Linked DNA regions of Rattus norvegicus. The protein of the gene in region 1 interacts with the protein of each later gene in a pairwise test. Links are inferred from orthologs where the notes say so. Each region holds a gene or a part of one and is shown in the gene's direction. Other genes may lie near its edges.

What was found.
Region 2: the proteins of Trim54 (region 1) and Ttc23 interact in binary tests that used the Homo sapiens proteins (3 or more experiments, as listed by UniProt). The two-hybrid records come from large-scale screens. The link is inferred for Rattus norvegicus from reciprocal best matches to the Homo sapiens genes TRIM54 and TTC23.
Region 3: the proteins of Trim54 (region 1) and Tbc1d22b interact in binary tests that used the Homo sapiens proteins (3 or more experiments, as listed by UniProt). The link is inferred for Rattus norvegicus from reciprocal best matches to the Homo sapiens genes TRIM54 and TBC1D22B.

What each region holds. Positions count from the first base shown.
Region 1 is NC_086024.1:30,975,341-30,980,504, reverse strand, and holds the start of Trim54 (tripartite motif-containing protein 54), read left to right. Parts: upstream 1-2,029; 5' UTR 2,030-2,213; coding exon 2,214-2,381; intron 2,382-5,164. UniProt on the Homo sapiens protein: May bind and stabilize microtubules during myotubes formation.
Region 2 is NC_086019.1:130,720,826-130,725,392, forward strand, and holds part of Ttc23 (tetratricopeptide repeat protein 23), read left to right. Parts: exon of another isoform or gene 1-2,820; intron 2,821-3,468; exon of another isoform or gene 3,469-3,574; coding exon 3,575-3,724; intron 3,725-4,567. UniProt on the Homo sapiens protein: Participates positively in the ciliary Hedgehog (Hh) signaling.
Region 3 is NC_086038.1:7,637,235-7,641,801, forward strand, and holds part of Tbc1d22b (TBC1 domain family member 22B), read left to right. Parts: intron 1-1,795; coding exon 1,796-2,103; intron 2,104-4,105; coding exon 4,106-4,285; intron 4,286-4,567. UniProt on the Homo sapiens protein: May act as a GTPase-activating protein for Rab family protein(s).

The sequences.
Region 1 (5,164 bases):
ATACCTTTTAGCACCAGCCTCATTTCTTTGCAACACCTTTGGAAGGCTGGTCTCACCATCTTCTGGCACCTACACCCCTGGCATTGACATCCCACTCGTAAGACAGCTTGGGAAATTTGTGTTTGTGGCTTCCCCTTGGACTTTGGCTGTGGTCCTGTGGACGGGCTGCAGCCCATGCTCCAGTCCTGCTGCCTCTGTCCTTCACGATACTTCACGCAGGGCGATCCTCTTATCTCTTGTTCTTAGCACAGGGACATGAAATGTGACGGGGACAGACCTCGCAGGATATGTCATTTAGCCCCTCTGTGCTTGGCATCCTCTCTGTATCCCTCCTTATCTTTTCTTTCTTACCCATGTGGGGTCACAGCCTAGGAACGAACCGTCAAACCTCTCTGTACTCACTGGGAGAAAGGCTAAAGAATATCAATAATAAAAAAAAAAAAGCTTTGTCCAATTCCGGTGTGTGTGGGATAGAAAGAGACCAATGACTAGCTCTCATGCCTGGGATGAGGCTGGCATGGTGAGTACTGTGGTCACTGTGGAGCTGGGAGTCAATGATGCCCAGAGCCTGATGGTGGTGGCTTTGGCAGTGTCCTATGACCTCTCTGCAGAGCGATTCGCTTGGGTACAAATAACTTTCCAAGATGCAGAATTTTTCCAGTCAGATCCATTTCTCAAAACTTTTTTTTTCTTTTTCTTTATGTGTGTCTGTGTGAGCATCTGCATGCATGTGTCCGTGTAAATGTCTATGTGCACGTGTCTGTGAGCCCATGAAGGGCGCTGAGTCTCTTGGAGTTACTATTACAGATGGGTATGAGTGCTGGGATTTGAACTCCAGTCCTCATGATTGAACAGCAGGCTCTCCCGGTCACTGAGGCATCACCAGTCTATGCTTGTTTCAGGTTTAAGCAAATTTAGCATCCTTGCAATGGACTAATGTAGTTGTGGACCAGAATCACACGCTCTCACGTCATAATCCTAAGGCAGGTCTGGGCCTGGTACAGCAGCCACCTCTTGCCTTTGAGCTGCTCTCCTAGGATGATGCCACAAGGGCGAGCCAAGGGCTGGTGACGTAGCCCAGTTAGCAGAATGCTTCTCCAGCATGCTTGAGACCCCGAGTTGACCCCCAGCACCACATAAATGGGGATAATGGTGCTTTCCCCTCAACCCAGCACATCGGATGTAGAGGCAAGAGGATCAGGAGTTCAAGGTCATCCATGGCGAGAATGAGTTCAAAGCTAGCCTGTCCTACTCAAGAACCTGTCTTTAATAAGGGAGAAGGAAGAGATTGTTCTCTGGGGAAAGCCACTTGTCACCAGTTCTGAGGACCTGAGTTGGATTTCTGGCACATGCTGCAGAAAAAGAATTTTCTTTTGTCCTGTGACTTCCACTTGTGCTCCAGGTTGCACCCACCATTCCCCCTAAGTAAATAAGTGTAGGGTTGCTTTTTTATATAAAGGCTGGGCAAGAACAAATACGGGGCAGACATATGGAACAAGATGTTCTCTCTCTCTCTCTCTGGTCTGCCGTTCCACTTCTGAATCATGGAGGAGGGCCGGGTCACTGGCTAAGCCTGTAGAGGAAGCGATGACGCAGTCTACAGGTCTGTCCAGGTCTTGCCCCCCACCTGGGCCCAGGTATGGCACCTCTCCCACAGGCTAGTTTACACTGCGTTTCTGTTTGGAAGAAGGTCCCAAGCCAGAGCACGGAGACCAGTGTTCGGAGGAGCCTTTTCAGTGACAGCGATAGAGCCCCACACGCCACTGGCCACCCATTCCTGACAGTCATGGCCACTCAGTCTGGGACAGCTGTGTCTCGCCTTACATGAGCTAAATTGGGAACTGGAATGTCACAGCGGTGCCCCTGTGTCCCCACCCCCACAGTAACATTAGTCTCTCTCGGGAGGAACAAACAGTGCTGCCCGCAGAGCGAGCAAGAGGGTGGTTTGGGGAGACAGGAGGAGAATCTCACAGGGAGAGAGAGATAAACTACAAGTGCCTGGTGAGGGTTCCGAGCAGACAGAGTGTCTGGAAATAGCCCAGGGAGAGAGGAGCTGTTAGAGGAAGGGACAGGAAGCACCGCTCTTTCCAGAGGGAGCAATATCAGGGATCCCAAGAATCTACAGTCAGCCTAAACTGACAGCGGAAGGGCGCGCAGGCAGGGGGAGAGAAGGCCAGCAACAGGGCCACAGCAAGGCACCAGAGCACCGCGGGATGAACTTCACGGTGGGTTTCAAGCCGCTGCTGGGGGATGCACACAACATGGACAACCTGGAGAAGCAGCTCATCTGCCCCATCTGCCTGGAGATGTTCTCCAAGCCCGTGGTGATCTTGCCGTGCCAACACAACCTGTGCCGCAAGTGTGCCAACGACGTCTTCCAGGTGGGCTGGGACAGGTGGGGGACGGTGGGGGACAGGTGGGGGTCGGTGGGGGACAGGTGGGGGACAGGTGGGGGATGGTGGGGGACAGGTGGGGGTCGGTGGGGGACAGGTGGGGGACAGGTGGGGGACAAGTGGGGGATGGTGGGGGACGGTGGGGGACGGTGGGAGTCGGTGGGGGACAGGTGGGGGACAGGTGGGGGATGGTGGGGGACAGGTGGGGGGTGGTGGGGGACAGGTGGGGGATGGTGGGGGACAGGTGGGGGATGGTGGGGGACAGGTGGGGGATGGTGGGGGTCGGTGGGGGACGGTGGGGGACAGGTGGGGGACAGGTGGCGGATGGTGGGGGAGAGCCCACCCCTGGGAGCCGGTGAAACTGCCCTGGCTGAGAGGCAGGAGAGTTGAGGGTCCCAGAGTAAGGTCCCAGAGTAAGGTCCCAGAGTCAGCATGAGTCAGCAGCTACCCTGAGGCTGGTAAGCATAACCTGTGTCTACAGCAACTAGAAAGTGGGGTCCACCCAGCACAGCAGAAACTGGAAAGGAAGATCGATGGTCTCGCATGGGCTTAGTGGGAGCTTGGACTAGATTTCATTCATTTTGAGGCTTTTATATGTATATGTATATACATATACATATACAAACACACACACATATGAGAGAGAGAGATAAATTTTTTTAAACAAACTCTGGAGAAAAGATCAAGGATATATTGAGATCTTTCTCTCTCTCTCTCTCTCTCTCTCTCTCTCTGTGTGTGTGTGTGTGTGTGTGTGTGTGTGTGTGTTAGCTAGTGTGGCTACCAGACCTCAACTTGAGTTTGATTCCCAAAACATAAATGATGGAAAGAGAGAACTGACTCACAAAAGTTGACCTCTGACCTTCACTTATATGAACACAGACAGACAGGCGCACACACACACACACACACACACACACACACACACACTTTAAACAATAACCTGGTGTGGTGGTGTATGTATGCCTGTAATTCGAGCACTTGGGAGGCTAAAACAAGGGGATTGTCATTGTTTGGTTTTGTTTCTGAGTCAGGGTCTCTGTAACCCTGGCGGCTGTCCTGAAGCTCACTATTCAAACCGGGCTGACCTTGAACTCACAGAAGATCCTCTTGCCTCTGCCTCTCTCGTACTGGGATTAGAGACATCGCTGCCATGCTAGCAAGTGTCACCTTATTTACATAGTGAATTCTGATCCAACTTGGGCAACAAAACAAGACCGTTTCAAAAAGTAAATAAGAAAGAGAAAACTAAAATTAAAAATTGTTGGGGCTGGGGATTTAGCTCAGTGGTAGAGCGCTTACCTAGCAAGCACAAGGCCCTGGGTTCAGTCCCCAGCTCCGAAAAAAAGAACCAAAAAAAAAAAAAAAAATTGTTGGTAAACCGGTGAGAAATCCTTCCATACCAACAGAACTGTGTGTATTTGAGGCAGAGCCCTCTGTCCCTGAGGGGTCTGATAAGACACAGTGGGCCACAGCAGGAACATTCTCTCCAGTTTCACACCGGTGATCCTTCCTGACCTAGTAGGAGATAAATGGTATCCAGGCGACTTACAGACAGACAGACAGACAGACAGACAGACGGCAGAAACAAAATTGTACTTCCCAGAAATGCCTGGGTGTCTGTGGTCATGAGGCCAAGCATAACTAGGTGAAGTCACAGCACTATTTTATCTACACATCTCCAACGCAAAAACAGAAGAGCTGAGCACGGCTGCAAACCCAGCCCTTGGGAGGTTAAGGCTGGCTTGGGCTGCATAAGACGCTGTCTAGCCAACTAACTAACCAACTAACTAACTAACCAACTAACTAACTAACCAACTAACTAATCAACTAACTAACCAACCAACCAACTAACCAACCAACTGACTAACTAACTAACCAACTAACTAACCAACTGACTGACTAACTAACCAACTAACTAACTAACCAACTAACTAAATAAATAAACCAGAGTCCTTTATAAGTTCCTAGGCTTGCCTCCTGGCTCTGTGTCTTGGTAGAGGTCTGAGTAGTTTATGACTGCATCAGAGGTCAGGGAGAATGAAGGAACAGAACTCACATGTACAGACACCGGACCTCACAGATGAAGTAACCTGGATTCCTCAGAGCTGGCTCTCCTGGTGGGCAATCTGTGATGGGAACACCAGGAATACACTTCTTGCCAGGAGCCAGCCTGGGATCCAGCGAGGAAGGAGCACCACAGGCTGGAGGCTAGCCTGCTCTATGTAGCAAGTATACCTGTATACCTGTAGAGTAAGACCCGTCTCAAAAGAGGAAAAGATAACTGTCTGGGGCTGAAGAGAGGACTCGGTGGTCAAGAGCATTTGTTGCTCTCCCAACCAACCCAAGTCCAGTTCCCAGCATCCACGTGGTGGCTCGCAACCATCTGTAACTCCAGTTCCAGGGGCTCTGATGCCCCCTTCTGACCCCCATGGACACCATGCATGCAGGCAAAATACATACACACAACATAAATCTTTAAAGTAGAAGAGTAAGAGTTCTCCCTCCTTATCACAGTGTGAGGAAATGAGTTGAGCACAGATTCCCCTCCCCCCTCTTCCTTCCTCTGGTGCTGTGGTTAACCAGGGCCTTGTGTGCATGCATCCTGCCACTGACCTATACCACAAGCCCCATACAGGCTATTGTTTTTAAATATTTATTTGCCATCCATATGTGTGCACATGCCTGTGCATACAGGTGCCCATGGAAGCCAGAAGAGTGTCTTAGGTGCCCTGGGGCTGGAGTTGTAGGTGTTTGTGAGCGATTATGTA
Region 2 (4,567 bases), on another chromosome or scaffold:
AGACACCTGGTTTAACCCTTCCCCTCCTGCCAGGCTTCATCTCTTGTCAGGACCACTGTGGCACCTTCTCTTCCCCAGGGGCTTCGTCCTGTCTTGCACTTGTCTGTCTATTCAGTCTAGCGCATCTGATCGATGGACACTCGTTGGCCCTCCAGTGAGTGCAATGCCCTCACGGCAAACCCCACACTTCTAGGCTCACTTTGTTCCTTCCCTAAGCTAATTGCCTGCAATCAAAGCTTTTTTAAAAATCTTAAGGCAGGTGTGGGTTTACACAATCGTGTGTGTACAGGTGCATGGGCACACATGTGGAGACCAGAGGACAAGCTGTAGATGCCATCCTCAGGAAGCCCAGACACATCCTTTATGACAGGGTATTGCAACTCACCAAGTAGGCTAGACTGGCTGACCAGCAAGCCCCGGGGATCCATTTCTCTTTGCCTCCCTAGTTCTGTGATTACAGGTGCCTGCTGCCACACCCAGCATTTTTATGTGGGTTCCACGGACTGAACTCAGACCCTCGTGCTTGAAAGTACAAAGACTGAGCCATCTCTCCAGCCCATACTGACTTTTTCTAAAACACGCACGTGCACACACACATGCACACACTCATGCACACACACACATACACATCTTTATAGCTGGTCTCTTCTTTTATTTCCTCCTGGAAGGCCCTCCCTGCGTCATTCCAGGCTAGTGTAATATGCCCTCCAGCTCTCTGCTTTCACACCCTTGCCCACATTGGACTCTTCTGAGTCCTCCTTACAGAATCCCATTGGTGAAGTCAGGTATATGTAGTGTAAATTTACATGGATATTTAATGTTGTTCGTAGAACCAAGCTGAGTTCTTGCTCACGATAGATAGTGAACAGATTTGGAATGGATGCTTGGTTGTGGGCCAGCTGACTCTAACTCCCACAACTCATGTCTCATGAGTTCCCATCCTTCCTGTCTGACTACAGAGGCAGCTGACGCCCAGTGTCACTGATAACATGTCTCATTGACTTTGCCCAAGTCACAGAAACCGGGAGTCTCGATTAAAAGATGTGCCTCACTCTCTCAGACTGCCCTTGGAAATCGTAGCAACCTGACTCCTTCCTTCCAGAACTATTTCCAGCCCTTATATGTCCTTGCAAGGATACAAAAGCTGCCCCTTCCTTAGGTGCATGAAACAAATCCGGGTACCTTGTTGAGAGACCCAAGCTCTCCTTCTCCTGCTGGGCGCCCCTGCAGTGAAACAGACTGCCCAGCCATACATGATGGCTTCGTGCTCCTTACCCAGGCTGGCAGCCCTGTCACCAGGGAATGTAGCAGAAGTGTCACCAAGTAGGCTAGGCTGGCTGACCCAAGGAGCCTGACACAAATGAGGATGGGGTTGCACCTAGACCATCCCAGATGTGATTACGGCCTATCCACAAGCTAGCTTGCACTAGCAGCAAGGCAGGCTCTAGAAGGAAATTATTTTTATAGTAAACAGTAAGTAAAGGCCACTCTGCTGCAGACTGAGATATTCTGGGAGAAGATCCAGACATTTGTCCCTGACAGAAGCTAATCAACCTAGTCTCCCTCTTCTCCCTACATGCCATGTTATCTCCTCAATCGCCCCTACATAGGCTGCGTGCTTCTCCTGGGCATTCCAGAGCCCATAACCTTTTCTCTTCTAAGTCCCAATAGTTCTTGGTTCTCTCCATTAAGTTTTTCCTGTCTGTTTTCCTCTGTCATCAGAATGTGCCTTCTGATACACAACCTTATCTCTAGTTTTCCTAGTCAGACTGAAACAGCACTAAAGGCTTCATTCAGGGAAAGAATCTGGAGCCTGTCTCACTGCCATTGATTGGGTTCCCAAAGCTCCACAGTCAAATCCCATGGAGAAGCCACCTCACCCAACTCTCGCACCCATCTAAGGCCTCGCACACAGGTGTCAGGAGCAGGGGCACAGGCCGGTCCGCATGGAGACCCCCATCCCTCATGCGCTCTCACAGACCATACTTGGCCAGTTACACTGAATTGACTTCTGCTCATCGCCACGTTTAAGGAACTGGCCTGGGGTTGGGGATTTAGCTCAGTGGTAGAGCGTTTGCCTAGGAAGAGCAAGGCCCTGGGTTCGGTCCCCAGCTCCGAAAAAAAAGAACCAAAAAAAAAGTTTTTTTTCCTAAGGAACTGGCCCCAGTTCCTGACTCATGTTCCTGCTGACAAATGGGGCCATGTTCTTCATTCACGCCTCTCTGCCTGTCTGTGGCACAGGTCAGCACATGCCCCCAGGGCTGTGCAACGCAAAGGCCTTTCTTCCGTGCTGCCTTAATTGGGCTATTGAACTGAGCATTTGTGTTGTGCAGTCATAATCATGTTGTTATTGACCGTGGGGTTTTGTTTTGTTTTGTCTTTAGAGACTGTTTTCATGTAGAGGATCTGGGGAGACTTTCGGGACCTGTTGGAACTTCACAGACTTCCCCCTCTGTATCTTGGTATCTGCAAAAATCAATATCAGGAAATACTGTTTTCTGACCAACATACATTTTTCTATTCCGTGTTGGCATAAACAAATAGGACAAAGCAAACAAAATGGTTTATCATGCCCCGAGGAGTGTTTACTTTTGGCTTCCTAAGCCTTCTCTGAGAACAGAAAGTCCGGAAGCATGACCCACAAGTGCAGCCCCATCTTCTCATGTCTGAGAACAACAGTGTGGAGGGAGACGAGTGTGCACCTAAAAAGGCCGGGGGAGCAGGTCCCAGCCCCAGCAATGACGAGCCCTGCAGGAACAAAGAGGGTCTCTGCTGCTGCTCCGGCCTCCTCCTGGGTCAGATGGTGGAGGCTGTATGTATCTAAAGAACAAGTCAGATCACACATAAAGTGAGTCCATGAAAACATCAGGGCTCTATGCAGGCTAGCTCTGCTCTTGCCGCTCAATGGAACCGGTTCTAGTGAGAGCTGTCGCTGCCGTGTCCTTGCTGCTTTCTTCCTTCATGTTTTGTACTTTCCCTCCCCGAGTATGTCCTTACTTCCTCCTATCTAACCAGAGGACAGTGGCCCATTCTTAAGAACACTTTTCTCTGAGATGTCAAATGTGTATCAACTTCATGACTTTTCCTGAGAGGGGCACAGCTCTTACTTCAATCCCTGAACTTTTGTAAAGATTGCTTTCTTTTTTTTTTTTAATAATTCCTTTTTTCTATGTACATTGGCGTTTTGCCTTGCATGTAAGTCTATGTGAAGGTGTCGGATCCCCTAGAACTGAAGTGACAGATGGTTGTGAGCTGCCATGTAGGGGCTGGGAACTGAACCCCAGTCCCCAGAAGAGCAGAGTGCTTTTACCCGCTGAGCCGTCTCTCCAGGCCCTTATTTCTATCTTTGTATGTGTACAAGTGTTTGCCTCATGTGTATCTGTGTATCACTTGCACGCCTGATGCTGGCAGAGGCCTGAGCAGGGCAATGGATCCCCGGGAAGTGGAGTTACAAAGCTTGCAAGCTACCTGCGGGTGCTGAACCTGGGTCCTCAGCAGCAGCAGCGAGTGCCTTTAAGCACTGAGCAATCCTCTGAACTTTTAACCGCACCACCAAATTTCGTCCTTTTCTCAGAGAGCGGCCATGATCCTGAGAGAGTCCCTGGAAGCAAAAATAGGAGTGTTCGGTGACTTCAGTCCTGAGGTGGCAGAAACATACCGGATCCTGGGCAGGGCAGACCTGGCTCAGGGAAACAACAACGGAGCGCACATGAAGCTAAAGAAGGTAAATAAAGTGGGGGCCAGCACTGACGTGAAGCACAGCTCCCCTCACTCTCATGTCAAGCTCTTCCCTCCACCGCACTTTCAAGTGACAATCTATAATGGCTTATTTAGGTAAAACGGCATTACTTTTGTGGTAGATTTAAGCTCACATTTTGGGAGACAAGAGAGTTCCTTTAAAGTACATTCAAAAAGTGAATTATCAGTCATGTTTGATCATGCAAATATTTAAAAGTTTTTTCACAGCGTGGCTTACTAAGTCTTTCTTTCTTGTTACTGTGGTCTCCCTGCCTGCCTAGTTCATGGAGGGATTCTTTTGTGCTTGTTTCCTTCTGCTCGTCCTTTGAACCTGGAGTTTATTTTATGTAGACGGTATAAGGTCTCACGTTATCTTTCTCAAAAATACCTCCCTGTAGGAGGGATGTACTGAGCACAGGCTTGGCTGGGACCATTTCACATAGAGCCCGTCACTACTCCAGTCACAGGCTTAGGATGACGTACGCTAAATCCCCATGTGCACTTGGGTTTGTCTCTTGATTTCTGTCTGTTCTGCTAATCTCTATTAAGTGTTAATAAATCACATTTTTAGTTATGGGGATTCTGTGGAATGATTTAATGTGAGATAAATACAAGACAGCCCTCAGGGCTTTTAGTCTAAAACATCAGTGTTTCCTGGATACTTGATTGTTTTTATTAAAGTATTTATAAGTAAATTCTGGGAAAACTGACTTCCTGGTGTTGTTGAGTCTTTCTACCCATGGGCAAAGGCTGCCGTCCTGTCTGCTCATGTCTGCTTCGTGTCTCTCATACACACTGAAAAGCGTTCCATCTCTAGGTCGTGTGCATT
Region 3 (4,567 bases), on another chromosome or scaffold:
AGCCAAAGCAGTTCTGGAAGCAGAGCAGCATCGAGGTGAAGCAGGGTGATGGTGTCGGATCACACTCGGCAGCTCTCCTGTTCCAAGCAGCATAACCGGTGGCCACTCCTTGTCAAAGTGTCCTTCGCTGAGTCTTAGGCAAATGTGTCCCTTAGTGTGTTTCTTGAAGATTTTTACTGCCTTCTGGACTTTGTTTTTTCGATCCATTTTCTGAAGATTTTTTTTTAATGTTTATTTATTTATTTTATGCATGTGAGTACACTGTCGCTGTCTTCAGACACACCAGAAGAGGGCATCGGATCCCATTACAGATGGTTGTGAGCCACCATGTGGTTGCTGGGATTTGAACTCAGGACCTCTGGAAGAGCAGTCAGTGTTCTTAACCACTGAGCCATCTCTCCAGCCCTGAAGATTTATTTTTCCGTGTATGAGTGTTTGCCTCCTACATGAATACATGTGCACACCATATTTTTTGTGCTTGGTGGCTAGGGAGGCCAGAGAGGGCAACAGAGCCCTGAACTGGAGTTACAGAGGCTCGGGAGCCACTGTGTGGGTGCTGGGAACTGAACCCTCAAGGGCAGCCAGTGCTCTCACCACCCAGCCATCTCGATAGACCCAAGGATGTATTATTTGTTTTTTAAATTTTGTGTGTCTGTGTGTGTGCGTGTGTGTGTCCGTCTGTCGGTCATATATGGTGTTATGTGCTCATAAGTATAGGTGTCTAAGGAGGTCAGAAGTGTTGGATCCTCTGGGTAGAAGGCCTTAGAAATGGGGGCCCTTTAGGCACAGCCTGCTCTGCTGTCCACTGCAGCCTTGCCTTGCTGCCAGGGAGATAAGTGGAGGGAGGGTTTTAGTGATGTTTTTACCCCTTTGTGGTCCAGTTCCACGTATTGTATACTGTAGACTCTCAGGTGGCTGCTTCTCTCTGTGAAGTCTGGGAGAGAATCACCAAGCTCAGACTTTTTTTCTCTCGGCTGGCAGAGTTAAAAAGAGGGGGCTTTTCTTTTTTCTTTTTTTTTTTTTAAAGATTTATTCATTTATTATATATAAGTACACTGTTGCTGTCTTCAGACACACCAGAAGAGGGCATCGGATCTCTTTACAGATGGTTGTGAGCCCCCATGTGGTTGCTGGGAATTGAACTCAGGACCTCTGGAAGAGCATTCAGTGCCCCTAACCACTGAGCCACCTCTCCAGCCCAAGAGGGGGCTTTTCATTTTGAGACTCAGTGCCATATGCATGGACAGTTAACGTCACCCAGCGCCCAACAGTACCTAACATTCTACTCTGATGGCTACTCTGGCTCCCACTGGCCTAGCGGATCAACCTTGACACCTCAGTAGTCTACGGTTAAGGCTTGGTTCTTGCTTATGTGTGTCCAACATGGAGGAGGGCAGGCAAATGGAAGGCAAGCTGTGGTCCACCTAGTCGCTCAGTGACTCAGGCAGAGGGAAGCCCTGAGCCTGGAACCTTGCAGGTCACGGTGAGCAGGATGGGCCATGGGGCAGCTGTCAGCATGGTGTGGCTCCCTCACTTCCCTTAGCTCAAACTGGTCAGGTGGTTTCACCTGAGTTCAAGAGTGCCAGGAAGTAAGAGAGTGCGTGGGAGCCGATAAGCCCGATAAGCCCGGCTCTCTGCTCCTCTGTCTGCTCCTCGAGAGCAGCGGCTGGGGGTGGCGTTCTCTGAAGATGGACGGGTGTGTTGGTGGTTGTGAGTTATGATACTGTATGCCAAATGCTAATGAAGGTGGTCAGGCATGTCACCCTGCTCAGCAGTGCCGTCCCCTCTCTTGAAGCTTCATCAAAGAACGGTCGAAAGTCAACTCAGTTCCTCTGAAGAACAAGAAGGCCTCCAGTTTCCACGAGTTTGCCCGGAATACCAGTGACGCTTGGGACATTGGCGATGATGAGGAAGAGGACCTTTCCTCACCGTCTCTCCAAACCCTGAACTCGAAAGTGGCTTTGGCCACTGCAGCCCAAGTCCTGGAAAACCACAGCAAGCTGAGGGTGAAACCGGAACGGTCGCAGTCGACAACATCGGACGTCCCTGCCAACTACAAGGTCATAAAGTCCAGCAGTGACGCCCAGCTGTCCCGAAATTCCAGTGAGTCCATCCTGCCCTTCTGTATCCTCTCAGTGGAGCTCGGCTACAGAGAAGAGTTCCCTCCTGCCCAGATCTTCTATGGCAGGAGGATGCACAAAAACAAAAACACTCAGCCAAAGGTCTGACGCCAGCACACTGGCTGTCCCCGCCCTTCCCTATGGCCTTCGCCAACACTCTCCCCCTTGTCCCTTTCCCTGCAGTGGCAGCCACACATTTCCCGTTGCTCTAGGCCTGGGCAGGTTTACAAATACTAGATGTGTTTAAAGGTGCCAGGGAATGAATTCACAAATAGTCCGCCTCCTCAGCCCTGGGGAGTGGCCGCCCACCTCAGGAGGCCCTTTTCCCATTTCTGTGATGCAAACAGCGTGTACTGAGGGACCAGGTCAGAGCCCCTGACATCAGCCCGCCCTGCAGCCCTGCAGGTTTTGTTTTGTTTTTCTAATTTGGGAAGCTGGCCTCAGTTCCTGCTGAGGGAGATGGTGACTTTAGATGTCTGGGCACTTTCTGTGTACATTTTTAAGGACCCACTAGTGTTGCTTTACAAATAAACCGGCCACTCCGACCTGGGCAGGGAAGTGCCCTCCCTCATCCTAGCTACAGTTAATAAGCTCACAGGCCATGGGCATAAAGGACAGAGGATGTCAGAGCCTCAGAGGATCCTACCTCAGCTTCCCTAAGTTTCTTCAACAGCCTCAGACCTCACACAAGGCCATGCAGTTTGGCCGTGGAGTCTTCACTGAGATTCCCCCCTGTGTGTCTACTGAGACGGGCCCAGCTTGAACCCACAGTGCCAGTCTCAGACAGGCATTCAGCACTGATTGGCCAGGTGGCCTAAGCTATGGATGAGGTTCTCAATGTCAGGAAGGCCCCTGCCTCGATCCCTGCAGGCTGCCCTGTGCAGCCAGGCCCCCCACGTGTCCCCCTGTGGAGGTTCCTTCTGCACATCTGCCTGTAAACAGCTGATGCCGGAGATGCCCATCTGCCTAAGTTTATTGCATGCATTCTGCATTTTCTCAGCCCCACTTGTCACCGTAGGCATCCCAGTCAGGTGCCTTATGGCGGCTGTCGCAAGCTTCTGCAGTGCTGGCCTGTGGAATATATTCATTTTAGGTATTGAGGAACATGACCCAGCCCTAGCAGGGCAGTCCCTGAAACAGTTTTCTTTGTGGCAGCTCATTCTGAAGGGCGCTGGAGTCAGACAGCCTGGAGGCCCCCCTCCACCGCCCCAGTTTCTCAAGTTCCTAGGCTGACTTTGTTCTTCTGTAAAGTCACTAAAACTTTTAGCAGGTGTCGTAAGGGATCATGGGAGCTCATGCTGAAATGGCGGGCACGGCCCCCTCTAGGTGGCAGGCACCAGCTGAGTTAGACCATCTACAGTGGAACAGAGTCCAGCTTCCCCTGCTTTGGTGGTAGCAGCAGAATTCAAAGCTGCTTCATTTGTGTGAGGAACATGGAGCAGAGGAGCTGGCTACTTGGCACGGGGTTGCCTGAGGCCAGAGCTTCCTATACACCTTGAAGGGCTCCTGTGGGCCAAGTGCAGGCCAAGGTTGAGCCTGGCTGTGAGGGCAGCCATGTGCCTAGCCAGAGGGTTGTACACAGGGCCACGGCCTAGCCCTCCACACTCTGCTTTAGCTGTCACGGCCTAGCCCTCCACACTCTGCTTTAGCTCTGTGGCTACCGCACTCACCAGGTTAAGGCAGCTTAAGATCCAGGGTAGGATAGAAAGTTTCGTCTCCCTTGGTGTTACCACGTACATTCTTAGAAGTCACAGCGACATCTGGGGTCAGCTGGCCACAGTTGCCCTCTGTGGTACAGGTGCAGTCCCTCTGTTTGGAAGCAGAGCCCTGCGGACCTCATTGTCTCACTGTTTCTCAGCTCCAGCCTCAGGAGTGCCACAGGCTCAGGTCCCGCCCCGGAGAAAGCACTGCACAGTCTGCGCAGACCTGGGGCATCTGACGGCGACCTTCCTATGTAGGTCTTTCTCCTTTTCAAATCCCTTCAGGTGACACGTGCCTGAGGAACACACTCCACAAACAACAGTCTCTCCCTCTCCGGCCCATCATCCCCCTCGTCGCCCGGATCTCAGACCAGAATGCTTCTGGGGCCCCTCCAATGACAGTCCGGGAGAAAACCCGCCTCGAAAAGTTCCGCCAGCTGCTTTCAAGCCACAACACTGACTTAGGTGCGTTCCCCAGGGCCCTGGGCAGAGTTAGGCACTGTGGTGACTGGTTCTCAGAGGTCGGACATATCTACCGGCTTCCTTCTTTTGCTTGTCCTAGTCAGGTGCCAGAGCAGCGATGCACAGAGTTTAGTCAGAAGCCTGTTGTCGGACATTAGGGACTAGAGTGAATGGGGCCTGCAGACCGTGGGGCGCCCGTGCCAGCGCTGTCTGCTGCCTCCAGGAGTTCTCACAGAAGTCCACGCCTGCATGCACCAGCGTTTACTTACTGGGCCCAGGTTACCT